Saccharomyces cerevisiae S288C: one gene and its partners. The protein of the gene in region 4 interacts with the protein of the main gene of each other region in a biochemical or structural test. Each region holds a gene or a part of one and is shown on either strand. Other genes may lie near its edges. The genes, in order: UFO1, GRR1, CBF2 and SKP1.

Region 1 (8,041 bases), on a different chromosome or scaffold from region 4:
CCAAACCTTGGTTTTGCCTTAGATACTGGTAGGAGCTATCGAAAAAAGATGTTGCAGTTTTCTTTTGAGCGGCGGAACGATGATAACCTTTAGAGTATATGAATGATTTGAAAGCCATTTTCGTTTGTGTATGCTTGTTTTTTCTTTTCTGTTTGTTGTAGTCTCTATAAATTTAAATGCACTTATCTTTTTATGCAAAAAAAGCTGGGCGAGTTATTTGTTTCTATATTTGTATAATTTTTTTTTTTGTGAAGATGAATATAAACTGACAAAAAATTGTGTCAGAGTTGAAGCTATAGCTCCTTTTATGATGTGTCTTGGTTCTTTGGGTGCGATATTAGGGAAACAACGCACAGCAAATTTTCTTCTGCTTTCTTATAACGTTATAAACAATCCTGTTGTCTTGGTTTATTATGTGGAAAACTTTTCACGGATCAATTTTATAAAGCATACAACTAAAGAGAAAAGTGTAATATGGACGAACGAGAGACAACTTAATCCATGGATTTGTAATTGACGTGTGTATGATTCGAGGGAAACTGACAGTTTTTGCTTTGTCATGGGGGAATTGTAAGGCACACCGAGTCTCGGCCCCGAGTGCCTGGCCAATGAGAACGCGCGCATTCGGAGCTGCCCCACTTTTTGTGCGCTCTTGCATTTCATTGGTTAGCCGGAGGAATTCGGCGGTTAAAAGCGGACTCGAGCGGAAATAAAGTCTTTGCTTATTGTATGCCAGGAAAAGCTCTACAAATCTACTAAAAGAGTCAAATATACAGCTTTGCCAAGCGTGCGGCATAGGGAATAACAACAAATTGGAAATGTGCGGCTAGCGTAATCTTGGTATCTACTACCGACTCTGAAGAGTTTAGCGGGCTCTCAGACGGTTTTTTCGCTTTTGGCATTTTATTCAGGTAGCCTTAGATGTTAAATTTTCCATGGCATCTTGCGTAAAGCCTGCTAGGTTCCTTGCCACGTATAATTGCGCCGCGAATTCTGTGATAAATATATTGTAAGATTTTCTGTTGTCTTGGAATTGCTCTCTCTTTAAATAATACTTTATATGTTTACCCCAATTCTTTGCCGCCGAAAGGTCAGCGTTGCATTACGTGGTGTCCGGTCGCTATTTCCTGGGTTTTCTGCGGCAGATTCGCACTGCGCGCCACAGCTGCAACAACTGCAGTGTTATTTCGGGTGCCAATTTAGCGTGCTTCGATCTAACTATTCTGTAAATTCTGTAGTGACTCTTTAGGGCGAAGTACGTATTTCATGATTTAAAATCCCCGTCTTCAAATATACCGAAAAAAGAAACAAGACATTTTTTAGCAGTTTATGTACGCATTTTAAAAGCCGGGAAATGCTTCTTGTTACCCCTTTTGGCGCTTTGGATAAGTAGTTCACTTAGCTATTTTTTTTTCCGGTTCGAACTCGGGGTGAGGCTTTATCATGCACTTTTTTTTGGCTATTATTAATTTTCGCAGCCTTAATTTTTCCCTTTCCATTTTCTCGCATGTGGCGGTTTTCAGTATTACTTAGAGATGCCTTAAATAAATCTAACAGGCAGGTATACCAGGTACGAGTTAAAAACCTTTATCAGGTGGCCGACACTAGGGAATAAGACAGCATGGAGCGGCCTGGCTTGGTATTGCAGGACCTTCCACCCGAAATCCTGATAAACATCTTTTCTCACTTAGACGAAAAGGACTTGTTCACGTTGCAAGAACTTTCTACGCATTTCCGGAACTTAATTCACGATGAAGAACTTTGGAAGAACCTGTTTAAGTCTAGAGTTCACACGACTCATTTCCCCACATTTTCTCAGTCTTCGAAATTTAGTGTAGAGTATATTGAAAGGACACGGGGTCTTCATCATTGGCAGCATAACAAGGCTATAAGAACCAAATACACAATAATTCCGACGAGAAACTGGGATCAGCCCAGTATAGAACGCATAGTGTTTGATTATCCACGAGTTGCAGCTTATAATGATGGTACCATTACAATTTTACAGTTACAAAATCACAAAAGGCAGAAGAAATTTAAGAAATTGATTTATATTCCATGTACAACACCACAAGGTTGTTCTACCATGGACTTCAATATTAATGCTGCAGTGTTTGGTAGGTTTGACGGCAGAGTGTTTGGAAAACTGCTAAGTAACAAATCGTACTTAACGCCCGTGATGGAATTTACGGGAAGGCATAGTGCAGGCGTTACTGCCATTTGTAATTCAGAATCCTGGGACACGTCAAGAGAGGACTGGTCTGTTAGTGGCTCTGAAAACGGTGAAATTATATGGTGGTGCGAAAATAAGCTTGTTAAGATGTGGAAGGTTTCTAATAGGGTAATTTGGAAACTGGCTTTTTTTAAAGATTGGACCTTAATTATGGATGATGAAAAGCTGTACATTATCCATCAAATGCAGGAATTGCACAGTATTGATATTCCTAAGGATCTGGACGAACAGCCTATGAGGGTACGGTTTTTCAAGATGGATTTCGGTTCCATGACTTTGGTACTTGCTGACCTGAATAACGTTTATACAATATCGGTCAATCCCAATGGTAACTTCGGCAATTTGAGAAAGTTGGAGATGCCTGAACAAATATGCGCAGTTGAAATAGATGAAAAAACTTCTCAAAGGGAACAAAACTGGCAATTTGCTGGTGATGACGGCTGCTATATCAGTCTTTTGACGACACAGAACACTTTATACATTATCAATATAAGAGATCTTTCTTCGTCAGGCTTAAAAGTTCAATGTAAGATAAGTTTTGATGAGCAGGTATACGTATCGCAGGTGACAAATTTAATAGTTGTGGTAGCATTGCCAAATGTTCTTCAAATATTGAACGCGATGACAGGCGAGTTAATAAAGACAGTGTTGAAAACCGAGAAGTTTCCCGAATTTTTGAAGGTATCGCAGGATAAAATCATTATGGGAAGCGGTAACGTTTTGAATTATTTAAAGTTTGTTTCAAGTGATTCAAAGAAACATCACCATTCCACTAAAGGTAAAAACACAGTAAGCAATAAGTGGAATGAAACTTTGAACACGGAGCTGCAATATTATGATGAAGATGAAGACCTTAGAAGAAAAAGACAGTCAGAAATATCAAGATTGATCGATGCGTATGGTGGAGACCTTGAACTTTCAGGCGACACCGATGAAGAAAACGACATTCAGTTGAGAATTGCACTCTTAGAATCACAGGAGGCGCAAGCACGGAATCAAGCTGAAGCGGGGGAGCCTGTCGGAGATGATGAAGATGAGCAGTTAAGAAGGGCGCTGGAGGAATCTCAACTGATATATGAGACGCAAACGAATAGCTCTGCGAATCATGGTAATAATACGAATGATGAGATAGATGAAGATGATGAAGAGTTTCTCAGAGCCATCAGACAATCAAGAGTGGAGGACGAAAGGAGAAGACATCTTAGAAATCATACTACAGGTCGACGAAATGGGCCCTTGAGCGACGATAATTTTGCTACATATGGTGCAGCAGAGTCATCCGAACGAACCTCAACTGAGAACACTATCGGTAGTTCTGTTGGCGTTGATGCTAGTAATAATGTTGATGAAGACTTACAATTGGCCATTGCGTTGTCATTGAGTGAAATCAATTGAAAGTATGTACATTTGGAAGAGCATATGTTAAATATTTTATTTATAGATTTTTCGTTGTGAAATATTATTTTTTTTTTTTTGAAAAAAATGTCGGACTTTATTCCTCCTAATTATTAATAAAATACGAATATATATCTAAATATAATTAATGCTTATTTACATGAAAAATCATCAATCGTAAACAGTTGATTAAAAAACAAAAACTTTATCGGTTCCATTACCTTTGTGAAACCCATTACTCCACCCCAACTCCTTTGCATAATTCAAAACCATTTCATTCATTTTAGGTGGTCCGCAAATCAATAAACGATGGTCCTCCGCTTGTTTAGGTAGGTATCTTTTCATTTCCTCTAGAGTTACGTACCCAACATCACCGTTCCATTTACCGTTTGGCTTATGAATTACATAATGAACTTTAAAATGCGGGTACTCCTTAGCCATGTGGTCTAGTTGCGATTTCATGAGAATGTCATCCTCTGTTTCGTTTGCGTATATCAAAGAAATGTGTGTTAGGTCTTCTGGAGAGGGTATGATTTCTTGCAGCACTTGCAATACAGGGGTTATACCAGACCCCCCTGCGATTATACCCAACTCTGTTGCGGTGTCCTGATCATATTCCAGCTCACCTAACGGCCCTTTAAATTCAACATACTGGCGAATTTTTAATTTATCAAAATACTTAGAAACGACACCATGTTTATACGTCTTGACTACTAATTCCAAGTGACCCTCCGTATTAGGAACATTTACTGGCGTATAGTACCTCACTAATCGCTCACCATTTATTGTAACCCTTACTGCCAGGTGGTATCCCATGGGAATATGCAATCTTTCAAATGGGTACTTTAACTTGAAGCAGTACAGACTAGTATTACGAGAAATGCGGGTCTTCTTGGATAGCGGTAGCGCGACCCATTTATTTCTGTAAAGAGATTTATCAGTTCCAATCGAAATAAACGCTGTGGCATAAAGTACTACGAATTGCAGCAATGAAACGACCACGATTCTACCATTTTGCGTTTTCCAAAAGTAAAGAGGTGTAACCACACAATTCAGAAGCAATCCAGTACAAAATGGATAAAACGGATTTGTCGAAACAAAAGATATGCATGTCTCTACTATCGACATTGTTGCGAATGGTTGCTTTTTACAAAGAAAAAATGTGATATGAGTTAATACTAAACATACTTAAATCCTAGAGAGAAAAAAAGTACTGCAATATATACAGCACTCAAAATACATTTCTATCTGATTTCTAAAAACTTCCCTGTAGATGGATCTACGTTACGCCATGCCGATGTTTCGTTTTTGCTTATACGACCAATCATTACCGCGTTCGGCTTTTCCAAAAAAAAAAAACTATAGTAAGGATAATGAAAAGAAAAAAGGGTCCCATGATTACTAAAAAGCTCTAATTCAAAAAAAAAGTCTTTGATAGGCAGCTAGGAATAGTTATTAGAATGTACATGAACAGTCATCACACTGCTATATATATATATATATATATTCTTTTTTAGTAAAATATAGAGATTATTGAGACAAAAAGAGACTAGTCGGACAACTCACTAGGATCTATAATACCATTTATGATAGCCCACTGTTTGTTTGCCAAGAATACATTATCGGGATCTTGCTCCTTTCTTATTTTCCGGAACTTTTTCAAATCCTCGCCATACCATTCTTCAACCTTCAATGCCATCCCCCTCATTTCAAAGTCATCGTAATCAGTATCCTTTTTCACTGGTCCAGCAGCTAGAGTGGTTGAGCCTAGGAAGTTCTTGGCCCAATGTGGCTTACCTCCCGCTACCATCATAGTATTTTCAAAAAGGGTAAACCATTTATGAATTGGAGTATTACAGCCAAACGGCCTATAAATGGTAGCATTTATGTACAACGTCAACTGACTGTTGGTAACATTTTCCAACGGAGCAAATCTGCAATGGGATGGTGTGTTATCCAGGAATGGGCGGCACACATTGCCATAAACGGGACCGGGACTGGTGTTTGTTCTCTTGCTAGTATCCAAGGGTTCAGAAGGTAATGTAGTATTTGAGCAACGGACTTCCATAGGCACGTGGACATAAAATTCTTTGTTTATGGCAGCCTGCGCAATAGAATGATCCAATGAACGTAAGACTTCCAAACCATTATCCATAGGGCACCCCCATTCATCAACAAATTGTGAAAACAAACAGTCCATATTAAATCCGCTGATAGAATCGGTAACATTAACATCACCAGTAGAGCTCTTCTCCAATTTCCCGTATTGCCTGTTGAAAACGAACTTTTCCACAAATGGGGTTAATGGCGCATAGATTTTGGTAGAGATCCATAATAGAGTTTCGTAGAAAAATCTACCCAGCTTGGTACCCCACCATGACTTGGCTGGACCATTTTGGGCATCTGTAGTTTTGTTACCCCTCCATAGAACACATTTTCTAGTATAAGGGTACCACCAAACTCTGATAAATTCAGATGAAGTCCATAGGGTATCCCATTGCTTCAAAAGGTTTTCAAAAGTAATCACTTCTTGAGTGGATTTAATATTGAAGCCGGGAACAACCCTGATAGTAGCAGAGACAATGATACCAATTTTTCCAACTGAAAGTAAAGCAGCTTTAAAGACTTCTGGATCGTTTTCAGCATCCAAGAACTTCAATTCGCCCTTACCATTAACAATAGTCAAGTTTACGTATTGAGAAGAAATCAAACCGTGATAAGGTGAGGAACCATGACTACCAGTAGAGATTATGCCAGCAACACTTTGTTCTGAGATAGAGCCTAAATTTTGGATAGAGTAACCTTTCGCACCCAAAAATTCATTCAATTGGTAAAGCCTCATACCGGCATCAACTGTGACATCGGCATAATGTAACTCAGGATATTCAACAAACTTTTGTACTTTGTCCAATCTGTCTAAGTTAACAAGCCATTCATCAGTAACGCACATGTTACTAGGAGAATGGCCCGAACCAACAGTAACTAAGCTTTTTTCAGCTAGCCTGGCACTCTTTACTAACTCGACAACCTCATCAATTGAACTTGGTTGGAAGTAACGTTCTGGTTTTGCAGAATAAATTCCGGCCCAGTTTTTGAACACATAGTTCTTTCTAAATGGGATAGTAGACATGGGGTGAAAAACCTGATAATATCGGTAACTTTAATTTTACGGGTTCTTGTTTTACCTTCTAATGAATTTTAAGTTTTGAAAAGCAGAAAATCAGATATTGAAACTATAGATCTGCTTACCTTGAAGTTCACTATTTTTGGAATTCTCCTTGCTAATAGTTACTTCTACTCTTGCTTTGTCCTGGATATCAATGGAAGATGTCCTCATTTCCATTTTTTTTTTCAATTCGACGGCAAGGCGGGAGAAAAGGAACTAGGGATACAAAAATGCAATTACTAATGAAATCCGTGAAATAATCATGGAAATGGGTGATGTAAGAATCTGATGAAACAAGTACAAATGTCTTTGGCCCATCAACTACGATGAGACTTACTAAGCTTTCATCAAATGCAGGTTAGAGAAGGAGAATGGTTTTTTTTTTTATTTTTTGTACATAGATATTAGAGAAATATAATAAGTAGATTATAGATAAGATATCACCAAAGAGATATAACAGTAGGGGGAATTTTTTTTTTTACAATATACTTGAAATATAGAAAGGATAAGGAGGTTGGGGGCGAGAGTGAACCTTAAAATTCCTCTTCCTCAGCGTATGAGTCGGCACCCACTTCGATGTAATCTCTTTCTAAAGCAGCCAAATCTTCTCTAGCTTCGGTGAATTCACCTTCTTCCATACCTTCACCGACATACCAGTGGACGAAAGCACGTTTGGCATACATTAAATCGAATTTTCTATCGATTCTCTTCCAAGCCTCAGCAATGGATGTGGTATTTGACAACATACAGACGGCCCTATCCACAGTGGCCAATTGTGAGTTTGGTGTGGCAGTTGGAGGTTCGTAGCAAATACCGATCTTGAAACCAGTTGGACACCAATCAACCAATTGGACGGTCTTCTTGTTTTTCACCTGCTCGACAGCTCTTTGAACATCTCTTGTTACCACATCACCCCTGTATAACAGACAAGTAGCCATGTATTTACCATCTCTTGGATCACACTTGACCATCTGGTTACCAGGTTCAAAACAAGCGTTTGTAATTTCTGACACAGAGTTGGACTCATGGAATGCCTTTGATTTGGATAAGACTGGAGAATATGAAACTAAGGGGAAATGAATTCTTGGATATGGAACCAAATTGGTTTGAAATTCGTTCAAATCTACATTTAATGAACCGTCGAATCTCAATGATGCTGTAACAGATGATACCACTTGAGCAATTAGGTTGTTTAAGTTTGCAAAGCTTGGTCTTGGGATATCCAAGTTTCTTTTGCACATGTCGTA
Region 2 (9,377 bases), on a different chromosome or scaffold from region 4:
AGAAACTGACGATGGTAAGTATTTTACTAATAAGCAGGAAACTATAAAAATACTGGAAGATGTGTCTGTGAAGAATGAGACCCCAAATAATGAAATGTTACTTTTTGAGACTGGAACCCCGATCGCATCTCAAGAAAACAAGTCAAGAAAATTATTTGATGAAGAGTTTTCTGGGAAGGAATTGGATATACCTATAGATTCATCAACTGTAGAAATAAAAAAGGTTATTAAACCCGAATTTGAGCCAGTCCCATCAGTTGCAAGGAATTTGGTGTCTGGAACCTCTTCATATCCACGGAATTCACGTTTAGAAGAACAAAGAAAGGAAACAAGCACAAGTTTGGCTGATAATTCTAAGAAAGGAAGTTCATTTAATGAGGGCAACAACGAAAAAGAACCGAATGCAGCAGAATGGTTTAAAATTGATGAAAATAGACACCTTGTAAAAAATTACTTCCATGATTTGTTAAAATATATAAATAATAATGATGCTACGCTAGCTAATGACAAAGACGGTGATCTGGCTTTTTTGATTAAGCAAATGCCTGCAGAAGAGTTGGACATGACATTCAACAATTGGGTGAACCTAAAAGTGCAATCTATTAAGCGCGAATTTATAGATGACTGTGATAAGAAATTGGACATATTGAGAAGGGATTACTATACTGCCACAAATTTTATTGAAACTTTGGAAGATGACAATCAATTGATCGATATTGCTAAGAAAATGGGCATTTTATAGCTAACTAATTTGATAAACAGGCTAAAGGTTTGTATTTTTTGTAGTTTTGAAACTGTGTATAGAATGTTTCGCCGCATCGCAGATATCTGCAGGGAACTGTTGACATAGCATCTTCTGTGGACGTGACAACGTTACGTATATTCGTTGATACCGCAAGTCTATAGCGTATACATGCTAAGGCAAAAAGTTTCAAAGTGAATGCATTATGTATTTATATGTAAATAAGTAAGAAAAGTGGGATTTTGAAAATAAAGGTGTAGTAGGACAGTAAGTATTCAATGAAATACAATTATAACATATCTTCATCGGGCGTTCCTGATGCTTCATCCATTTGAGAATCAATGGCAGTGTCAGGCATTGATTCGTCAATTGTGTTGTTGTTATTGTTCCTAACCATGTTCTGATTACGAAGTCCCATTTGGAGATTCCTCATCTGGTCAGGTGATATTTGCATTCTATTGCCAAACTGACGCCAGAAATTTGGATTTTCTGTTTCATTGTCATCATTACCATTGTTAGTTTCATTGTTACTTGTATCGTTTGCCCCAGCATCCGATACAATATTCACTATGTTGTTGGCGTTCCGGTTGGCGTCATTGTCATTATTGTTATTCCATGCTGATCTTTGGTGGGCTATTAATAGTTCTCTTTGTCTGGTTAACAATGTTATGTTATCTTTTAAATATAGTCTCAAAACAACGGTGGAGAGCTTGTACTTCTGAACCACCATAATGAATTTGTCAATGAATAAAAGTCGCCATATTAAAAGCCCTTTTTGGTAATCTATGTTGCCCGATTCCTGAACCGTTTTTTGTACTAAACAAATTTGTCTGTTTAATTCAATCATTTGCATATAGGTTTGAGTCATTTCATGAAGTAAAAAACCAGTAAACTGAAACTGAACTCTTACCAAACTAGCAACATTCACCTCGAAATCATCAATATGATCATTTAACTCATGGAATTTTCTAACAATATGACACATTTCACTGTTAATTTCCCGGTTTACACCAGGTGCTACGACATAATCTTGATCATCGTCCACATCACTAAATGGATCTTCACAAAACGTCTTGTTTACTTGCAATAATAGTGAGTTAACTTCCTCCGAGCTCATCCTAATGCCATCAAAAGTATTGAGATACCAACTGAATACTTCATCTATTCGTTCAAAATTGATATTCTGGAAAAGAAAATCGTTATTTAGACCGTTGATTTGATTTAATCCTGTAGCAGCTATAATTGCAGCGGAATCTTGATTTAAATCAGTTATGATTCTCCTAAGAGCATCTTCAAGTGTTTCACCGTTAAATATCAAATTCTTGGATCTAATATATTTTGTCAAAACATCATTTACATCGACATGTGGTCCAAAAGCGGGCGACGTTAAATTTACTAAATAATGGCGAAGTTTATGAACACCTTTCCCTGAAAATACGCAGAATATTTGACGTTGATTTTCACTAAAGTCTGAGGGTGCAGGCCTGCAATACATCGTTATATCGGGGCGTAAAAATGACGGAACAGCAGTCAAAGACAAATGTGAGAGCCTTGGGCAAGACATTAGAAGCTCATATATCGGATATATTGTTAAATTAGAACAGTAAGATAAATGTACCCTTTCTAAAGTATCATTTCGGCCTCGCAAGGAAACCATATTCAACAAACCCTCGTCAGTCATTTGCGTACATTTGACAAGGCCAATTCTCTTTAATTTTGGTAAGTCTGCTAGTTCATAAAGAGTTCTATTGGTTAAATTCGTACAGCACGCAAAGTCCACATACTGTATTCTTGTACATGAATGAAAGAGTGCTCTTACCCCGTTATCAGTTATATTGAAACAGTGCCCAAAATGCACTGTTTGCAAGTTTTTGCCCAGCTTCGATAATTGGAACAACGATGCATCTGTAATTCGGCTACACTTGCCTAGAAAAACATTACGTAATTTAGGGGCTAAATTGACTATACTTTCTATAGTTTTATCTGTAATATTTTCACATCCAGAAAGATCAATCAATCTTAAAGAGGGCATATCGTCAACTACTTTAGAAAGCTCCTGGAAAAGATTATCCGTAATATTCGTATTATGAGTTATTCTGAATTCCCTCAGCTGAACTAACCTAGTGAGGAGTTTTAACAAACTAGAATCAGTGACATTTGGACTTAATGTTATATCGACCTCTACAAGCAAAGGGCATTTGTTGGCTAATAGTTCTACTAATTCGTCATTCATGTTATTGTTTGCTGTGATTTTTATTCTTTTCAACATCGGGGAATGGACTATGAAATTCCGCAGTGAATCGAATGTTACATTCCTTGCCTGAGGAACATAAAAGCCCTGTACTCTGGGACAATATGTCGCTAAGGTATCAAATACGTCATCGGAAACGTCTCTTATTCCAGTGATATCCACACTTTGGAGAAATTTACATCCTCTCAAAACAGCCGATATTGGAACACTGGTTATATGCTTGCAAAATACTAAAGTTAGTCGCTCCAAATTCTTACATCCGACAAAATAGTTAAGCTCTGTATCGTGCATGTAGTCACCAACAAATGAAAAATTTAATCTTTTGATCATTAAACGATAGTTGAATACAGTTTCTTCAGAAGTTAACTTCATAGTCCTTAAAAACAAGTCTAATTGACTCTTTTTGTTGATGTGCGGTCTGTAATAAAGTATCTTCACAATTATTTCAGCCCAGAGTTTGGAAACGGTAAGGAATTTTACAATATCATATTTTTGGTTAAGTTTATCTAATATTAAGTGTAATATTTCCGAGGGTAGCATGTTTAGGGCAAACACAGGTGATCTTCGGGTGACACTCGTACATATGTTTTGATTTGATGGATTCGAAAGCACATTATTTATGAACTGCCTTGAATATCTCGAAAGATCTTGTAGCCCTTCTTTCAAGTCAGATGATTCAGTAGTATCTATGGAGTTTATCCAAATGATGAAATTATCTGTTGGATTTTCCACTTGTTGACCTCTTAGCTTGGAATGGCAGTATGCATATAATGACTTTTTGTACTCTTCTATAATTGTTAATATTTTTAGCCTTAAATTTCTAATTTCCATGTTTTCTGTCTCTAGCGCCCTAAGCCTCATTCTTTGTAATTTATGCAAATAACTAATTGCTTGTGGGGAGTTATCAATACGTAGCTCCTTTAGTTTAAGGTTGTCTAGCTCAATTTCGTTCAGTATTTTTTTTCTACGTTTCTCTATAACAACCAGAAACTCTTGGATTTTTTTGCCCACTATTAGCTTGAATTCGTGGATTTGCTTCCGTTCTTCCTCTGGTAGGTTCGGTAACAATCGATTAAGTTGATCTATTTGAACATTGACACCATTCATAAGGTTTGTGTTCACAGTGTTTATGTCAATCCCGTTCAGCGCATTTGTTTGCTGTTGTGGTTGAAATGTCAGCGAAAAGTTTTGATTTAGCGGTTGTCCGTTGTTGGTTGGCAAAAGCGTTTCCCGTTGAATACTATCGAACCTAAAGATATTATTTAGCGTTGCATCCCTAACCTCACTTGCATTTCTTTCCGAAGTTGCCGTTTCTCTAGTTCGTGATGGCATTTGTGGTCTTGTGCTATTATTATTGTTGTTGTTGTTGTTGTTGTTGTTGTTGTCGTCAAAATCACCGCTACTATTCAGCCACAATTGAGGGCCCAAATTTGGATGTATATCAGGTGGGTGCAGCCTATTGCTGTCATTGTGGTTGTTGTTATCCTGATCCATTATAGACCTTCTTAGTATAAAGGAAACCGCAAAACTGTTTAGCCTCACTACCAATGATAATTATTGTGCCGAAATCAATGAGAAATTTCAAGATTTCACGCAGGTGTAAGCTTAAATGCAATGCCTTAATTTTTGGGCTTCCCTGCTAGTTGGACACAAGTACGATTTTGATATTCAAAAACCGGGCTTCTAAGAGAACGATTAAATGAAAACGAATTATTGTGTAAAATCGAAAAACTGGTGAAGTATGGACAAAAGAAAGTAACACACAGGCACAGTTAAATTTGGTGTTATGTATTTTGCCACGCCTTTTTTGATAATCATATCACTAAATTTGTTAAAAGGCAAATTTTAAAACAAGTTCCTTTACCAAGGAAGGTCCATAGGCGGGTAACCTCAGTAGTAATGAAAGCCTAGTAATGATGACTATAAATGTTCATTAACACATCTGGGTAATAAATGATGATATTTTTAAAAACTGTATAAAACTTTATGGATTTATTTAATCATGATTAGGTGTAGAAAAAAAATTTGGCGATATGATGGCTTGAAAAAGACACGTCTTCCCAGTAATGAAAATGCCCAAATTCTTCATTAGCTCGCTCATATTCTATTAGGATTTGAACCATAAAACCGTTGGGGGTAAATGAGATAGTTTTGAATGGATGCAGGTATGAGAAGAAAACGGCGTGGTCTCCCAATGATGACGGAAATAAAAGAAAACATGGGGACGTCAGTTTGCAGAGTGTAAAGTCAGAGTTTCAAAAACGGTGTTATCGTCGTTATAGTTCGTGTTGTTATTATTGTTGTTGTTGTTCGTATGAGGTTGTGAGGAGCCAACATTGTTTACTAATTCCATAGTAGTGTTGTTATGGTTAGTTAGGCTCAGTTGTGGCAACGATAAACGGGTTCCGTTATTAAAGTTTAGCATATCAAACTGGGAACTTAAGTCATCGTTGTTCATAGCATATCCATTACTGGCGTTGCCTGAAAAGCCGCTGACAGGGAAGACGCCAGGATAACTAAAATAGCCCATTGAAGAATTAGAATTGGCATTCAATGGTTGGCCCGGGGATAATGTAGAGGCAGAAGAACCATTTGTAGTCGTGGTGTTCATTGTGGTATGTTTAGATCCACCACTTTTAACGCTAGAAACAGAAAGACCTCTCATGTGTTGTCCAGAAGTATCAGGAGTGGCGAACATGTGCGAAATGCTGCTGTTATGATGCTGCTGCTGTTGTTGTTTTGTCTTGTTATGAGTACTAGAGGGTGATGCCAACCCGACTTCTTCCAATAAACGGCGGCTTGGTTGGATTTGAGTAGAATCCGTCAATACTTTTCTGACTTGTTTAATGATGTGGGCTCTTAAGTCATCTTCTAATAATGGCATTGCTAAAACTTTATGGACAAAGGTTGGGCCATAATTTGTTTCACATAAAAGCTTTGTTAATTCCTTTGGTGGCGAAGAATCGTGTGCGTTCACGTTTCCAAATAGGGAATCTAGGATGATTTTTCTAGCGTTATCATCCCCTCTGTAATTCAAGACCTTCAAAATAGTCAAAGAAGCCAATCTGTGGCCACATAACTCTACAATTCTTTTCGTCAATCTTGGTGCCAAGATAGAATGTCTGTTGGGTAAAACACTAGTATCTAAAAACCACGTTACTAACAACGCACCATTGCTATTAGTGCTTAGATATTCAGCATATGTAACGATCATTGCACTCAAAACTATTGATTGTTCAGGAGTTACAATGTCATGTGCCTCTAAACAAGCTCTGACTGCCCTTGCACCATATCTATTCTGAACAATAACCCAAAAATTAGCTATTATACTTTCAAAAATAAACTGGTTCCAGGGGAATCCAAATTTCAAAACGCACTGTATGACATAATTTCCGAATTGGTCATTGATTAATGGAGTACAGTAGTCCTTGACCCCTTGCGTCACTTGCATGATTTGTCTCGGAGTATGCGCCATAGTGATCATCTTCTGACAAGCCCATGTTCCGTTTTTGTGAACACCCATAGAGGTTAGGTATTTGCTTGTTTTCCTCAGCATGATGTCTTTAATAATATCAGATGAATGTTCAAATAATTTTTGAACGATAGTGTTACCCAAGTAATCTGAACTCAATTCGGGCAATTCGTCAAGCATTGCAATAGCCAACTGTTCGATCTCTAAGTCGGAAAATGCGTTTGAATCGATTGATTTTCGCAATTCGCGTAATTTTGGTGGATCGAACTCCCTGCCAGACAATGGTTCTGGTAAAGGTCCAAAGTTTTGCGTATCGGAAGTGCCTTTGTGATTCAGCGATTTTTTTATCAACGAATTGATTTGGTATTCATCGGAATTTGCTTCAAAAAGTTCGATGATCTCTCTTAACAAATCTTCCTTTTCGTTAACGTTAGGTGGTGGTAGAGGGAAAGGACATTGTTCTTTTTCATTTGCTGAGTTATTGTTGTTTCCGTGCATACTATTGTTATTATTATAACCATGGAGAACATTGCTAAAACCAGCAGAACCCGAACTATGGTTTTGGTGCTGCGATTGTTGTGATTGCTGGTTAAATACAGGTATAGAAACATTTCCTTGTTGTTGGAAAGTCACAGCTCCATTGAATAACTGCTCCTGTAATAAAGGCTGTGGTTGCAAATTGTTGTTTTCTAAACCCAATGGCAAGCCTTGAGAATTGAGAAGAAATTGTGGGGGTTGTTGATGCATAGGTAAGATTTTGGCAAATGAAATTTTACTTGGTGCTCCAATCATAGATACCTCCTTGCCCTGTAAACTATCTAAGGCTTTTACGGCACTTTCCACGGAAGAAAATTCAACTAAAGCCATGTTTAAATTCCTTAAAGTCCTAGCAGATATGACTTCACCATATTTGGAGCATAGGGTTGCCAAGGAAGTACTTGTTAAGTTTATCGCGTTATTTAATTGTGGCTGCTGGTGCTGTAGGGGAAAAACGTTGGAAATAGAAATGGTATTTGTGGGTAAAAGGTTCGATATTTGGTTTATTGATGGTACAGTGGGGTCCATTGTTACCCAATTGATGGATTGCGGATCTATTTCATCAGCAATCAATGGAGATTCCTGTGTTGGAATAGTATAGTGCGATGAAATACTGGCACGAGCGGGCTGTTCGTACAGTGGAGCGTCGGTATATATGCTAGACGCGTTGGATTGAGATCTCTGTCTGGTATTTGACCAAACAGAGTTTGGGATAGCCAAGTTATTCGTATTCATCTTATTATCTGCCATTTGGCTTCCACTAGTAGATACCATGTTGTCAAAATATGCAGTTTTTGTCGAATAATCGTTGAGCGTGTTTGAATTAGTTGTATTATTGCTTGTCGTAGGTTGCAATTGTTGCAAAAGGTGCTGTTGCATGGGATCGTTCGCACTAGCATTTGAAGACCATATTCCGCTCGAAGTACGAGGCTTGGGGGCGATTGATGAAATGGAAGTTATCTGAGAAGACATTGTGTTGTTTCTCGTCCTCGAGATCTGATGTGGCAAGTTAAACGAGTCGCTAGATCCTCGGGGGGCAGGAATTAAGAAGTTATTACTCGAGTCAGGAAAATGCACCAATTTTTCCATGTCTTGAGGAGGGGTTAAACTGCCAGGTCTATCCATAGTTACACCGTCTATAGAACTTTCCATCATCTTACTCCTGGAAGGGCTGGCCCTTGGTGTCTTGGACGCCACCGTAGATTGGGAACTGTTGTTGCTAGAGGAAAACTCAGCACCGTTCTTTCCGTGACTATTTTTCTTCGAATGGTGTAACTTGGCACTGATGGAGGGCAAAAGGTTACTCAATGTATTAGAAAATTTTCCTGCTCGCGACCTATATGATCCAAGCTTTTGGGGTTGTTGCTGCAGTTGGCTATTACTCTCTCCATTGTTCTCGTATTCTTCCTCGTATATTGGGATAGTGATGCCAGGGTCAATCACCTCGGGGATGTTGGACAAGTTGTTGATGTTCATCTGCTTACTTTTATCCATCTTAAGAAGGAATAAATAGACGTTCACGCTCTTTCTCACACATACACACAAATCTCTCGAAGTGCCTCTTATTGTTTTAACTATTCATCTCTATGCGCCATTGGTCATCCTACGAGAAACGCCCCCCTTTGTCCCAATAATTGTCGGCGGGTAATTTGTCCAAATGAAAAAGAGACATTGTCGCGAGGAACGAATAGATGACCCGATTTGGAAAAAGGTAAACAACAATGAAATATTCCTCGAGAAAACAATAATGTTTATTTATGCAAAGGAAACACTTAGAAGGGAACATCTCCATTCACTAAACTTCGTTGGTTTGGTGTATATTTCTTTGATTCAGTCTGTGCAAGAAGAATTTTTTAGTTCATTAAATTATATAAAAACAAAAGTACAGAAGCATGCACGACGCAGAGAGTACCGTAGATTCTCTACTGAAGGAGATAGACAATGAAATGGAACAAACAAAGTCTAATATCACGCAAAATGGTTCCGAAGATACACCACACAACTGGAAGCTTCCGCTGCAGGAAATAGGCGATGATACCATGGAAATGTTGGTCAAACACAATACTAGGTCGAATGCTACAGAAAATAGTAGAGGTCGATCACCTTCTAAGATGTCTACCATCTCAAATGAAAGCCTTAATTTGGGTCTCTTACGTGTAAATTCGGAACTTGAAGAGTCTCCAGCCGCTGTGCATCAGGAACGGATTAAAAACTCTGTTGCCAACGGGGCACTTGGTCATGCCAATTCTCCCAAAGTGCTTAATAATCTGAAAAATATGGCACAAGATATAGATAAACTAGCCCGTGATGAGGAAAAGCCCGTAAAACTTAGCAGCTCTCCCCTTAAATTTACTTTGAAATCGACTCAACCACTG
Region 3 (8,958 bases), on a different chromosome or scaffold from region 4:
AAGGCCTATGTGAAAGAAAACTATATGCTGTTATGCTCGGGAATATATAGTAATCTGCGCAGAGATACATGTTCGGCACAGGCTCACCTGGGCCTACTAATTACGCATCGATGTTGACCAATTTTCCGCTTTGGGCACGCATTCATTTGTTTTCCTTTTTAAAACAACTCAGATCGTATTTGTCTCAGCACCCACACCTTGCACCAGGGTCCGTTTACCCATTTGAGGAATATGTTTCTAAAAAAAAAGAGCCGTAATATTCCAGTATACCTCATTAAAAGTAAAAAAATTTGGACGAGTCCGGAATCGAACCGGAGACCTCTCCCATGCTAAGGGAGCGCGCTACCGACTACGCCACACGCCCAATTAATTGATGAAAGGGGAGAATAGAGAAGAATAATGAAGTAAATCTAATGAAATATCAAAAAGCCATTCTCAACGTAACATTTACTCAATTATCTTCAGGGCAGGAAGGGGAGAAGAAAAAAAAAGCTCTTTTACTTGATTACTGTTTCCGTTAATTTGAACTTAATTTTTCTAAAGATGGAATTGAGATATTGGTGAATTTTGAGATAATTGTTGGGATTCCATTGTTAATAACAGTAGTAATATTAGGTATATAGAATATACTAGAAGTTCTCCTCGAGGGTATAGGAATCCTCAAAATAGAATCGATAAACGATAGTTGAATTCTATTCAAGCAGAAATGAATTTCAATCATTCGATAAAGTAGCTTGTATTTTGTGAATCACTTGCCATTCCACCATAAAATACTAGCATAAATGTTAACATGGAAAACCGGATTTCTAGGAAGCAAATAATTGTACTAAAATCACGGATACTAATAATTTCTACTTTACTGTTGCCCTTTTATTTTGTTATATTGTAACAAAATAAATCCGCCTTCTGCCGTGCCGATTTATATTCCTTTCATAAAGTCAGTGAATTATAGTAGTATATAAGATGCATATAATTAGTTATTTAATGCCGTAAAAATGAAAGATGGGGAGTATGTATTATCACCCATTATATCTCCTCAATAATAGAGTTTCCCTTGGGAGATCTGCTTAGGGACTCGTTGTATCTGTCAACTTCCTCATCCTCAACGTCTTCTAATAGGGGTGAAGCGTGTTTTTTTAGTGTATTACCAGACACAGAGAAATCCAAAGTCGTATCAGAATCACTGTTTATACTTTCATTATCACTTTCTGCTGAACCAGAATTGCTATTATTATTTTTATTGCTGGCCTCAATCTCAGAGATAGGCAATGATTTGGAATTTTGCAATTTTTTTTGCTGGGACCTCTTGGTTTTTTGCTTATTTATCAAAGATTCTTTCCTTGCCTTCAATCTGGCTTCCTTCTCTTTCTTTTGCCTTTCTTCATCTTCCTTGGCAGCTTTTTCCTGTTCTGATTTTCTGCTTTCCTCCTGCATCAATCTTTCTTCCTCTATCCATTTTTTTATTTGGTCTTCTTTGGTTAGTGGTTCTTTCGCTTTCTCCGCTTCTTCCTCCTTCAAAGATTCAGACATGTTAACATCATCGTGAGACTCGTCTATTTTGGATTCAATTATTGGCATCTTTGGTTCGTTGATGCCACCTTCGGAAATTTCTTCCTCATGCTTAACTAAACCAATCTTTAAAAGTGCATATTTTTCTCTCGAGCCATCATCTATGTTTTCAACTCCACAGCCAATAACAAAAACATCTTCAAACACTTGGTCTAGAGAGAATTCCTTAAAGATTTTATCCTTCTTACTCAATATGCTCAATTCATCACCTCTATGATTCAATTCTATTTCGTAGTCTTGGAAAAGATCCTTAGCAATTTTCTTTCCTATGGCTCTAAAATCCAGATCTTTCAATGCAGATCTCAATAGAGCATCTTCATCCGCTTCATCTTCAACATAATACTGGTTTCCAAAAAAATCTTGGACAACATGGTAAGTTGGTCTGTAATGGTTCTCCTTTAGCTCACCTAATTTCTCATTAACGTACTTTGAAAAAAGTTCATATGGAATCCGCTTAGACAAGCTTAATGTATAACCATTTGGTGTTTCAGCAAGTGCATACCTCAAAGGTTCTGAACAATTTGCATCGCTTTTTTTTGGAGCTCTTAGGTTAGCTTTTATTGCTTTCCTCCTTTTACATTCTGGATAATAGCTCACTGGAGAACTGCAATCAAAATAACGCGAATGTAGGGGCTGACTAAAAGATGGCAGCTGTTCAAAAACACATGGTGAATTGAATATGGAAAACATTTCTATATTGTAATGGGGTCTATTAGTTATTTTCTTTTGGTTGTTGTTATGATTGTAATACTGATATTTCTTTCAAGAAGAAGAAAATATATATAGAGCAATGAGAATACCTGTCAATGAGAAAAGATTGTTCTAATGCTTTTATATATGTAATGCAATAGATCTTCCATTTGTTTTGCCACTTTACTTCGCCAAGAACTGAAGGCTTCTATGAAATTCTTAATTCTTCCATCCTGGGCGGCTGTTAGCCCAACCCGACCTGGTTCGGAATATCGCCGAACAAGAAAACTGGATACAACTCTCGAGCTCCACCGAGTGTCGCAATTTTCCGGAACTTTCTAGAAAAAAAAGTGTCAGTAACTTTACAACCACAGACGGTGCGAAAGAAAAAAAGAAAAATACGGCTGAAATAGTGCTACATGACGATGCACAGTACATACACTACAGCATGCTAAAATAGCGAAAAACGCCCAAATATTCATTACCCTGTAAAGTAGTCCATAATGAAACATACGCTTCCCCTCCACGTCAAAAAACGGAGTATGCTACGCAGCCACTTTGGCCTTATGTTGTACAGCAAGATACCACAATTGTCACCCACAAGATCATTCTTTTCTGCATCCAAACCTTCCCCTCTTTTTATATATCTTCTTGCCGGGCAGCCCTTCCAAAAATTCCACCATTTAAATCTTTGGCATAAAGAAACCCTTTCCATATTTTTGAATAGTGGACCTTTTGGTCCGTCAATATATTTCCATTGAAATGGGCACCATTTTTGTCTGGGATCCCTAGGTCTTAATTGTTTATCGCCCCAAGCGCCTTTGAACGATAGCCATTCTAGTCCCATTTTAGTTTCTTCAGCGCCGCATGGTGTCATTTTTTCCCCCACAGTCACTGTATAGGCATAATAGTTTAAAGAAGGATCCCATAATGGCCCTCTATCAGTAAAGTCACTCAATGGCATAAAGAAAAACGGAACATCGTGCGCATGTTGACCGACTGATGCATAATGTGCATGTGTGCCTCTTGCACTAAATATTAAAGGCTTCTTAATAACCTCGTTTGTCAATTTACCGTCAACACGACGCAATCTTTTGATTTTCTCAATGGCTTCGAACTTATAGGCACTACCACCCCCATGCGCACTCATCCATAGATATTGTGGTTCTCCTTTATAGAATCGTACTAAAGAATGTTCCCAGTCCCCTACATGATTTCCCCATGGTCCGGAGCCCATAATATAAGGACCCCAATTGAAGGGGTAGAAATAAAACCAGAACGCGTCTACCCAACCATTTCCTTTGTCAACGACAAAAAGAACTGCTGGTGCTTTCTTTATGTGACCTGTACCATATTCTGGTTGTTCACCCAACAACCAGTCAGGGCCCTTATCAAAATCATCTAAACTTGTCATATATGTACCTTCACTGGATACTCGGCCCCACGTTCCGTTCTCTAACTCTACCGAATAATACTCTTGTAAGTCACTTAAGTCACGAAGGTGTTCATTGATAATTTTCTCCCCACTGTGGTCTCTCAACTGGAATCTTTTTACAAAATCCTTAACATCAGCTGGCCAGTACTTTTCTTCACTATATAAATGGAGCAGAGGGCTATTATCGATGACATATTGCGGTACATTGCCCCTTTGTTTTAAGCTTTTGTTATCCTCGGTAACTTCAGATGGATGTAACGGAGGTGTGCTTGAAAGGATGTCCTTACTCCATGGTTCATCCCCCATTTCTAGAAGCGTTGCTTCAAATGGGTCATCATCCAGCCAAGGCACGAGTACCGCACGGCAGGGTATTATCGAATAAATAATAAATGTAACGAGGAAATATAGCCTCGTTCTTTGCCGCTTATGACTATTTTTTGAGATTCGCATGAAGCTATAAGTTTATTCTTAGTTGCGGTAATAAAGAAGCCTTCTTCCTCTTCTATCTTACCAGGTCTACCAACTCAGTCTTCCTATATTCGTATAGATTTCAAAGTTCAAGGCATCTGAAGTGATGGAACCCCTATAGGTGTTACCCGATTTTCTCACCACAGCAACCGTTGATATTCCGGCAGCCTTTTTCTCATAGTAAACATCATTATATTATAAACATACATGTCGGTATCCCTATACGAAACAGTTTAAACTTCGAAGCTCCCTCAGTTAGATAGATATACTAACAGACCATCAAATGAATTTTGATGGTCATGCCTCCACTTCCTTAGGAACTTTGCCAAGCGCGAAAATGAACCTTCGTTCTGATCTCGTAATTTTTCGCAAATATCAACTGCTTTGTATCTGTCGAGACTCTCATGATTTACCAAATAAATATAGAATTCAACAATTGATTTTCTTTCCTTGTATAAAGCTTCACAATTAGCTCTCCACGACTTGTTACCTGATTTGTTCATTGAATGCACGCATTGGTTGGCGTACTTAGCGTTTGGGGTGAACCATTCAAGAATGATTCCCTCTATGCTGTCTATGGATTTGTCCAGCATAAATTCTTGTTCGTCAGTATAGCTCTTTGCTTCTTGATCTTGCTCAGGAGACGGCGATGCAGTAGTTGACATGGCTTGATGATCATCATTATCTTTCACAGTCTCTGCGTACTTACCACTGGTCCTAAGTTTTTTAGGAACTTCCATATCAAATCCAACATTGTGTTCTTCCGTCATGTATAGTTGTGGCCTCTTCAACGTTGAAAACTTCCCCGTGTGTGAACCAAGTTTTTGCTCGATAATACGAGTGACTTTTTCTTCAAGAATTTTATCTAATAAAGCGTTTATTTTCAATTCAAATTGATCCATTTGGTCCCGTAAAAAAGTGCTTATTTTGGAGTTTATAAGTTCGTTTATCATAGATTTTAACTGCTCTTGCATCTCAGAGTCATTCTCATCTTCATTTTCTCCATATGCGCCATCTTCGATGGATTCACCGTCCTTTTTGAATACATTTGAATCCTCCGTGGAGGATTCGTCGGAGGAATCCGCAATTGAGAGTAATCTAATTTGCTTCGGCCTCTTTGTCCGCCTTGATGTGTTAGGCCCATCTTCATTCACAATGTTTTCTTCTTTTTTAATGGGCTGATTATCACGTATAAATTTATCGGCATCGTCAATCTTAGATTTCTTAATTCTTTCATCCAAGGTAATTTTGAATAAATTAAGCTGATGTAAAATATAGCCTCTTGAAGATTTTTTCATCTCCAATTTCTCAAAAATTTTATTGAATACCGATAATAAAATTTGGAAATTAGAAAGTGTTTGGAACTGCACATATTCGAAACTCTGTTGCTTCAATAATTCATTTAATTGTGTAGTATCAAGTTGACTCATTTGTAATGGCCCCTCAGATTCTTGTTTTTGAGTGGGGTGTGTATCTGGATTATGACTCGAAGCAAATGTCAACTGCGAAGGCCTTTCTATTAAGAGTGAGTAAAAATTTGTCTTATTCTTATAGATTTTATTAAAGCCTGGTAGTATATCGAATGATAAAATGGGTGAACCCTTTGAATGTATAGTTTTGTCATTGAAGTATGATTGAAAATCGGAATTTCCAAAAATGGGGTCCTGGAATATATCATGATTAGGAAAGAATTTGTAAATCCATGGTAGATTGCTCAAAAATCTTTCTCGTAAAACTTCCATTAAATCTAGAAAATCCCTTGAATTCTGAGACAAACCTTCATAATCATGTCTTTTATATTCATCAATCTCCGGAAATATTTGAACTAATAAATCCTTTGGAGGCGGAAAAGGGTCCTTTTTAGCGTTTGTAGAATACGAAGTGTAGGGCGATTTGAAGTTCATGATTTTCTTGAAGTCGAACGGTATTTTGTCAGGGAACGCAAAGGCCTCAGGTTGTTCTAACCAATTTCCATGGTTTTCTTCATTGAAAAATGTTCTAAAAGTGTCTTCATCCCAAGTTGGGTAAACAAGGTTACATTTGTTGAAATATTCTCTTCTTTTATAAGGTAAGTGGCAATACCTAAACACGGTTGTATAATAATTACTAAATGTTTCCTCTCTGGGATAAGTTGTCAGTGATTTGCCTCTTAGTATGGGAATATCTTGTAAAAGTGAGCCATTTTCATCAGCGTTCAAATTGGGAAAGCCATCCCCTTTCGAAACAGATGGTATACCATAGAACCTTAAATACAAATATGCAGCTAATGTAGTTTGAGGGCAGATAAATGGACAATCTTGGGGTAATAATGCAAGGAGTTGATGGTGGCCCGGCGTATCTTTTTTTTCCGCCGAATGAGTTACTTTATGATAAATTATAGCGTCTCTGTCCCTTTTACCGAGCTTGAGGGAACCAAATCGTATCTTTGATCTTTCTTCAAATGAAAGGTTCAAATAACTTCTTAATTGAAAATCCACCAGGAATCTTAATTTTTCAGAACAGGTTTTAAAAAATTTCTCAGAGAGATGGTTAGTTTCTGGGTTCCATAAATTCAAAGACACTTTCAATAATGGTGGACACAGCACTTGAGTATTTGTGTTATTTGTTTCATTAGTGGTGATTGCCTTTTGTGAATCTATCCAATGGGTATGAAGCTTGGTGACTGACTCCAGGTATTTTGTGTCTATATTAGCATTTGGATTTTCATGAACTTTGCACAATTTTGACAAAAAATTGAGACTGCCTATAATTTTCTTCAACGTAGCGATCTTGAATGAATTCTCCTCCTCCTCATCAAGATCTTCAGTCTCTTCTCTTTTCTCTCCAGGCTTATCATCGGTTATTAATGTATCTAACAAAAACCAATGTATCAGTTCAGCAGATATTGGCAGGTCTTTATAGGGGACGCTATTTACAGAATTGTCCTCCGGTGTCGGTATAATTTGATTGAGCTGACACCATTGTATGTACTTAGTATAGTAGGTCTTGTACTGATGCGCAGTTCTTGGCTTTAGGGAGTCCACCAGTTCCTGAAACCTATCTTCTGATGACATAGCTTCTTGCTGTTGCTGAACATCCATAATTTTCATCAATTTTAGTAGAAACAAAATCGATGATCTCATATGTTTTCTACTTTTTCTTGTTTGTTTGTATGCGGTAAAAAAATAAAAGCGAGAGAAAACGCGAAAGGTTCCTGGTATCAAAGTGGGGTAACGGATACCTGGATGTTGAGATACATAACCAAACAAGAAGAATACACTATCCGATTATAGCCCATAACAAATGGCAGTATGCGCACCACTGTTAGCGCATTATTTTGAGATTGTGCTTAACAAACGCAATTACACTGTTGTTTAGCATAAGATATAATAATAACTTTTCACGTTTATCTTGAATGTAATCACTCAAACTCCTTTGTATAAAAGTCCACAGGCATCAATCTACCTATTTGAAGACTCAGCAGCAGAGAGAAAGTTATATAGAGCAAGACAAAGTACACACAAAGAAAGCAGAGAACACAAATATTTGTGGGGAAGAAGCAAGGTGAGTGGCCGCAGTCATTTTCGGATGAATTTGAGGTTCATGTTTTGATGTTTATTTCTATAAGAAAAGTAAGGAGAAGCACCATTGAAGTATAAATATATCAGCACTGAATGCGCCATTACGGCAAAAAGGAAGGGGAATGCAAAAAAATAAAAAATCTGCCTCAGGTTTTAACACTTAAAGGCACGAAAATAAAAATAGAATGCGGCTGCTTACATACCACTAGCTGAGCAAGACAGCTGCCGTTCAATGTTTGTACTTCGCACCATGAGAGTTGTGGATATGTACTTTATGGACGAAGCTGAAACGGCTAACACTATTATTACGCGAACTTTTTCAACACTTTTACTTCGCCACAAGTGCCGAAGATCGAATCTTACCCAAAATCCGGTTATTTTGTACCTATGCAAAAACCCTTCCCCTGATCTATTTGCCATTTAGCCGCCCAAAGTACCGCAGAAGCTGTTACAAACACATCACGGGCCACCGGAAAAAGTATTTTTTTGCTGCTTACCTGAATATATTTGCGCTTAAAAAAATTTTCCGGCGCTTCCGAGTGAAATATACTGCTTAACTGTGTCCGGAGAAACCTCGTGCGGAAAACAGCGCAAACCGCAAAAACCCCGCAATGGGCGCGCTTACTCAAATTCCCTCGGGTGGTCTCACGGGCTGGCCGCAGCGCAGTCGCCTGCCGCACTAAACCTTAAAAATGCGAGAGCGCATGCACGGCGGACGTCGTGGAAGCCTGACGCGTGCGCCCTTCTCCTCCCGAGGGACATAATGTCTTGGTGCCTTACTAGAACCGATTTCTCGAGATGATTCCATAGCCGTTAAATTCATCTCAAAAGAATAGAGAACACAGCAGCGCAGAACGAAAACAAACTGTCGCGTCGCATTTTACTGAACGAGTCATTCGCATATTCTGCTTAGGTGTCTGAGTCTTTTAAACGCATTCTAGGTTTTTCGAAAAAGCCACCGAAGAACACTGCCATCCGCATGCACTGTAATGCCACTGTTTATTTTTTTTTCTTGCTATATATATACATTGCGCATACACCCTTTTGAGGTTTCGTACTAGGATTTTTTTGTATTTGTTTATGTTCTTTTTTCCTGAAGACATCAAGAAGAAATAAGAAAACAAATATATCATTTTATTGTTTGTGTTTATAGAGAACAATATACAACTTCCTTCTCCTACTATATCAAGTTTAATATTTAATTTTTTTTTTTTTTCGGTTTGAATTTTAATTTTA
Region 4 (6,546 bases):
AATAATAATCTAAAGAAGAAAATCAAGCAAATAAAAAAAGAGATAATTGTCATAATTCCTTGAACGGATGTTATGTTTACTTGTTGTAACATTGAGAAAGCGGAAAAAAATGAATTTTTGGTACTTGTATCTTCGAAGTTTTCTTCATTCTTCTCATTCTTGATAGTGGATGGTGATGATTTCCTTTTATTTACCGTCTTTCCTCTTCTCCTCGATTTTTTCTTCGTTGAACTAGCATTAGAAATTATTTTTTTGAGATCATCTACGAGTTGCTTTGTTGAACTTCTTTGTCCATCAATTGAACCTTTCTCAATGGTTCCTTTCAGCATTGATTTACCTGTCCAGACAACATTGGTGACAACTTTCATGTTCGTTGTGTTGTGATCACCCCAGGAATAGAAAAATCTCGTATGTACTGAAAATGAACTACCGTAAGGAACATCCGGAGATCTGACTATTTGTTTTACCATAAAAAAACTGTTCAAATCCATATGCTCGATGGTCTCTGTGACTATACATTTAGTTTGCTTCGGACCGAATGAATTGTTCAATTTTTTGGTATAGGTGATCTCTCTTGCGTTATTCACAAACTTTGGAATATCACAAACATTAAAGTTATTCTGGTTTTCGATGATTTTCTTAATATATGATGTGTCATCACCATACAATAGTGAAAACACTGTTCCTAAAGGAACTGGTATATTAATTTTTTCATCGATAACTGTATCGTCTTTTCCTTTTTGAAAATCAGGTTCCGTCGGATCATGAACTGGAGGTCCAATAGTTGGCAGATTAATAATTTCTTCTTCTGATTCATTATTGCTGGCTTGATGCTTTGAGTTTATGTTTGAGTCTTCATCACTTAAGATTTTCTTAATTTCAGATATCATTATCTTTGTGGTGTCCGCAACACCATCAAATGTTCCCTTTTCAATCATACTTTTGATCCAACTTTTACCAGTCCAATCAACAGAATTGTAAACTGTTAATTTGGTGGAGTTGTTTTTATCCCAAGAGAAAAGGAAAACAGTTTTCACTGAAAAGATATTCCCTGAAGGAACATCCGGGTTCTTGGTAATACTGAGCACTTTAACATAGTCTTCCAAATCATAATGCTCTAAAGTATCTGTGATCAAACATTTTGTTTTACTTGGACCAATGCTGCCTGATAACGGTTTCGTATATGCATAGTCACGAATTTTCTTTGTGAGGAAATTGTTAGGGATTGGCGATATTTCAAAATTTTTCTGAGCTTTAAGGATCCTTTCATAGTAAGAGACGTCTTCACCGTATAAAAGATTTACTACTTTTCCTAATGGTGCATTAATATTTGCTTCAATAACCAAATGATCATTATTGGAAGGTTTGAAATCAGCAGTGGTTGGAGAGTGTTTATTGGGACCCAATAAGTAGTTCGTAGATTTTTGGTTTTTACCAAGATCATTTGATTCATTGAAAACATCAGCATCAATATCGTCACTAGATGTCATATCTGTGCTATTAATATCAGGGTCATCGTCATCCAGGTCTCCATCGTCGTCATTGTCATCGGAATCATCAAAAAATGCACTGCTCGAATCGCTTATCGTACCGTCGTCATTATTACCGAAGCCATTCCTATATTTTTTACCTAAGATGATCTGATTCCATACATCTGTAATTAAATCAAAGGTAGCATCCCTTGACATAAAAGAGGCGAAGATGTACTTTGTATGCAACGTATCAATTACAATACCATTGGGGAAAATTCCGGCGGTAGTCTTTTTCTCAATCTGAACGATTTCCTTAAACGGAATGAAAACTGTACTGACCCATCCCAAAATGTTTGAGAAAAATCCAATGTGTGCATCAGATATATACATCCTTCCTTGTAAAAGAATATCACGAGATAGTGCACAACTATGATCGACAATTAACTTTTCGTTAGGATTAATATCGCAGTCCTTGAAAAGGGTATGAAATTCGCTGTTTTTCTTTTCTGAAGCATATTCAATACCTTCTAACTTGAAATCATCATTGCCAGAATCCAAACCCATTATTGCATGGATATTACCTGAGCCCGCAGTACTTGTTCTTGGCATTTGCTGTCCCTGATTTGTACTAAAGAAATCAGAACTACTATTCCTATTTTTGTTGAATGAATTTCTTAAATTAATTCCAGGGATCACTTTATTGCCTAAGTTCGAAGGTGAAAAAGATCTCCTGTTTAAGAATTTTTTGGACATACTTCTGAATTTTCTTTCGTCGGCATCATCAAAGGCCATATCGTTTGAATAAGAAGAATATCTTGAATTTCTTTTACTATTACCTTCATCACCAACGGCATTCTCTAATGCTTTGTTCGCGGGCAGTGTCTTACTTCTTGCCCTATGGCTAGAAAGGTTCGATTGTGAATTTTCAAACCTTGCCATGTCGATATAGGTACTATTACGATAACTTGTGTTTAATTCTTTTGGACCGAGATTATTGTTTACGTTACTTTTGCTAATATGACTCAAGTTTGTTGAACTTGCATTTGGATTATTATTGGTATTATTCTCGTCCAGATCAATAGTTGTATTATCAATATCAGAGGATCCTGCCACTGCCTCTAAAGTTAAGTTGCCTTTACCAAAGGTTGAGATTGCAGGCTCGTGTACTTTCAAGGGCTGAAATTTCACTTTGCCAACATTTGATCTATCATCCCTATCATTGTCGTTCTCGGTTTCAGAGTTAGAGTTTGCATTTACGTTTCTATTGTTAGGTGTCAAAGAACCTGAAAGGGGCGTAGTCGATGTATTTGTAGGTACCAGTTGAGTTGATGGTGAAAGAAATGCTTTGGAAAGAGGCGATAACTCTTCCTCGTCATCCCCTTCCTCTACTTGAGTATGTTTATCAGAGGCTGGACCAGAAGTGGGGGATAGTAAATAATCTAAATGACGCAAAAATGATGAACTGCGGTGGGCTGTGTTAGCGGAGGGGGAATGAATGAGCACTGTGTCATTGGGATTTTGGTTAGCATTTTCGGAAACAGGTAAGGGCCCTTGTTGCTGTGACAAGGGATGTTGCTGCTGCGCGTGGTGGATATGGAAATAAGGATGGCGAGTTGAACCTGTATGACTTTCACCTGAATGCGAAAATTCACGTTGTATCTCAGTATTTAAGGCTGAAATTTTAGGGACATGAGATATGGCACTATGAGCAATTGATAGAATAGTATCAAATAGACTGTTTGAAGAATTCTCAATGTCGTTATTGTTGTTAATATTATTGGGTGCTGACATTGAATCGATAGCTGGGTGCGAAGAACTTTGAGAGTCATCCTTCTGTAAGATGCTCAAAACTGGTCGTTCATTCTCAGAAGACGAAGAATTGAATGTATTTTTAGTATCAGTATGTTTGACTTTCTCACTTGCTCTATCTATAGTCACTGGAATATTAAAATAACCTTGTGGAGAAGTATTCGGTTTCTTCAAGCCAGCCTTAGAATTTTGTAGCGATCTTCGAGGTATGAAAGTCAAGTCTATACCATGTTTGTTCTTATTACTCTTATTACTAATATGACTTCTACTACTCCTTATTGAGACGATATCTGGTAGCTCTAAAGGCAGTGGTGGGATAGAATCACTAAAATGAGGAGTATGAGAATATTGAGCAGGAGAGTTTGAACCAGAGTTACCGGCAACACCTTCATTAGTAGAGCCTATGTCGGTCAGTACTCTTCTCTTAGCGATGGTCTTTCTGCCATTGTTGGCCCTTCTTAATGATAGGGATGATTTTGCTGCGGAATTGGTAGATTCCTTCCTTGTACGAGTGGTCTTACTTCTTTCCATAACAGGTTGCTTTTTCCTTGACATCAATTTCAGTTTCTTGAAAAAATGACCATCACTAAATGACCTTTTTTTGCGAGTAGCTTCATCCCTCATTGGTTAGGGATATCTGTACAGCTGCTGCTTCTATATATTTATATGTGATTAGCAATCAATATACCCTATTTTAGATGAATAATTTAAAGCAAAGGGTTAAGCTGGTGTTGAAATGCTCGAAGAAAATAAACTTGACTTAAAATTTAGACCAAATATTTCACAAATATGATTCAAAACGGAGTGTTTACAGCTATCTGTCCTAAATTTATCCCGTCTCATCATGTAAACAATAGCTTTTATAACTCAATAATTTTCCTTTTTTCTTCTTGTCACTTTTGCGGCTTTTAGAAGACGCCTATCGCTACACACGACGATGGACCACACATCTTATTGTAGTTTGAAGTTTATGTAAACTGTATACATATATAATTCATACATGCTTGGTTATGGTGGACTAACGTACACATTGCATGACAGCAAGCCTTGTTTGCTTATTTTTGCCTATCTTGCTCTGAAATGGCGCATTATCATCGGAAGAAAGGATCACAGTCATCAGAGGAAATGTAGGCTAACGGTCTTCAGCCCATTCATTTTCACGCCTAATGGCAGCCTCCTCCTCTGGAGTGAAGTCGTTGACGATATTAAACGTTCTTCTAATTTCCTCGGGAGACCTTCCCCTGATCATTTCAGCAACCACCTTGCAGCCAGCGTCAAGCAAGGGCTTGATGTTGAGGTAGTTTGCCGCCAGAATAATTTCGTATAGCATCTCTTGGTCCACTTTCAGGAATTCTCTGTCCCATGAGTCCACGGGAGCACTCTTTCTGGAATCGTCGTCATCTTCGTCAGGGAAGTTAGAGTCTCTGTGGTGCTCGGCCCATTCGATAACCTTCTGCAAAACGGAAGACCGAACATTGGGCACGGGCATCACAATCTCGTCGTCATCCTCATCGTCGTCGTCACCGTTATTGTTGTCTTTGCTTTTGTGGTTCGTTTCCGAGTCTGAATCTGATTCTGAATCTGAGTTGTTTTGTAGGTTGCTGTCATGCATATCGTTCAGATAGTTTTTCAATAGCAGGGATCTCTCCGCGATTTTCTTGTCTACGGTGAATCGTTCACCCTCACCACTCACTAGGACAACATTAGAAGTCACCATATCTGCGCTACGTTTGTTAGTATTCCTGTATTGTTTATAACGTCTTTTCTGTTATATCTTTGCCAACGTTGGGCTATCACTTTCTCTGCCCTCAATATATCAACCTATTTCTTCCCTTTCTCTTCTTTTCTCCAAGACGCCCGTTAAATCGCTGCAGGGTAATGTCATGTTACCTATTGCACACTTACTGTATTAAAGATTACGCTATATATATATATATTCTGGTGTGAGTGTCAGTACTTATTCAGAGATTAAGGCTTGAAGGAAAACGAGCTGGAGACGCCAAAGTTGCTGTATACGCTGGCGCTCAGATCATCGAGCGGCTGCACAGAATCCAGAGTGGCCAGGTATTCGTTCACGCTGCCGCTATGGGAAGACCCGGCAGTTGTTTGAAGCATTTCTTGGCAACAGTCTTTCATCGACATAGCGAAAACTGCCATTTGATACTGTTGCTGATCTTCTTGGCCAGGTTTTTTCTTGGCTATTGTCTTTATGCCGACCTTGTTCATTATGAAATGGAATGATTCATTTATTAGAGACTCTAACACTATGGATGTTGCTGTGCTTTCGATACATTGGGTCAGTTCATTCACCAATTGATTAAAAACTAGTGTGTTAGAGTGAAAACTTGTTAAAGCATCCGCGTCAAGCGTCTGTGACAGAAGAAACTCCTGTCCACTGGAATCTTTAGGAAGCAAAATAGACGTGAGGTTATTATTATTTTGCTGGAATATTTGGGAATTCGTGTTCCGGAATATGTTCGTGAGACGAGAACTAAATTCTTCTAACGTTAGAGTATCTCTTGGGTGTATGCCGTCAAATTCAATTTCGATTTGATTTGTAATTATTTCATTGTAACTCAACCACCCCTTGTTAAGAATCCACCATGATAGTGATAGGAAAGCTTGCTCATTAATATACACTTCCTGGCCTTCTTTCTTTGACTTTTTTGCTGCCATTACCATTGCATCATCCGCTTTGTCCTCCGGATCGCTCCACCACGATGTAACCCAGTTATAGAACCTATTCTGTAGTTTGTTGCAGTTTTCCTGCTGCATGGTTAATTTTATTGCGGAGTCCAGGTACTCGTTTCTTGTCAGGATATTTAGTTGCAGTCTTGTTAAAAGAATCAGCGACGATACTGTGTACGTCACTGTCACCAGCTTGATCAAACTCTTTAGTTCTAACTCGTTCCACAACTCAGCTTTACTTTTTAACGGCGAACTTTCTCTGCTTTCACTAGACTTTGCTCTAGTCAACTGGTTCTTTTGGTCCTTTAATTGGGTAACGATGCTGTCCAAATTCAAATCGTTTTCATTCAAAACCATTCTCCATACAGGAAGTAGCTCGTATATTGTGTACAACGAGTCTTCCTGTGTCTGCTCGAACCTTCTTTTGATCTGTTCTTTGATGAAGTGTTGCTCAGTAATCCGTAACTGCTGTTTATACAACCATCTCTTCACGAAAAACACTACCACCGACCCTGTGGTAAATAAAGCAGCTATTCCAGTCAATGAAATGAGTACCTTTCCTCGATGTCTCTGCAGA

Evidence for each region.
Region 1: the proteins of SKP1 (region 4) and UFO1 form a complex in vitro, tested with the Saccharomyces cerevisiae proteins (2 studies listed by BioGRID).
Region 2: the proteins of SKP1 (region 4) and GRR1 form a complex in vitro, tested with the Saccharomyces cerevisiae proteins (4 studies listed by BioGRID).
Region 3: the proteins of SKP1 (region 4) and CBF2 form a complex in vitro, tested with the Saccharomyces cerevisiae proteins (2 studies listed by BioGRID).

Annotation. Positions count from the first base shown.
Region 1 is NC_001145.3:90,614-98,654, forward strand, and holds UFO1 (SCF ubiquitin ligase complex subunit UFO1), read left to right. Parts: upstream 1-1,621; coding exon 1,622-3,628; downstream 3,629-8,041. Other genes in the region: RPM2 (ribonuclease P), read right to left, coding at 1-118; AIM33 (cytochrome-b5 reductase), read right to left, coding at 3,818-4,756; ALO1 (D-arabinono-1,4-lactone oxidase), read right to left, coding at 5,178-6,758; alpha-tubulin TUB1, read right to left, coding at 7,328-8,041. UniProt on the Saccharomyces cerevisiae protein: Substrate recognition component of a SCF (SKP1-CUL1-F-box protein) E3 ubiquitin-protein ligase complex which mediates the ubiquitination and subsequent proteasomal degradation of target proteins. Probably recognizes and binds to phosphorylated target proteins.
Region 2 is NC_001142.9:589,841-599,217, forward strand, and holds GRR1 (SCF ubiquitin ligase complex subunit GRR1), read right to left. Parts: upstream 4,488-9,377; coding exon 1,032-4,487; downstream 1-1,031. Other genes in the region: BIR1 (survivin), read left to right, coding at 1-742; JSN1 (Jsn1p), read right to left, coding at 5,221-8,496; BUD4 (Bud4p), read left to right, coding at 8,895-9,377. UniProt on the Saccharomyces cerevisiae protein: Substrate recognition component of a SCF (SKP1-CUL1-F-box protein) E3 ubiquitin-protein ligase complex which mediates the ubiquitination and subsequent proteasomal degradation of target proteins.
Region 3 is NC_001139.9:765,755-774,712, reverse strand, and holds CBF2 (Cbf2p), read right to left. Parts: upstream 7,285-8,958; coding exon 4,414-7,284; downstream 1-4,413. Other genes in the region: BTN2 (Btn2p), read right to left, coding at 1,027-2,259; VPS62 (Vps62p), read right to left, coding at 2,741-4,144.
Region 4 is NC_001136.10:1,121,021-1,127,566, forward strand, and holds SKP1 (SCF ubiquitin ligase subunit SKP1), read right to left. Parts: upstream 4,999-6,546; coding exon 4,414-4,998; downstream 1-4,413. Other genes in the region: YSP2 (Ysp2p), read right to left, coding at 1-3,905; PEX3 (Pex3p), read right to left, coding at 5,250-6,546.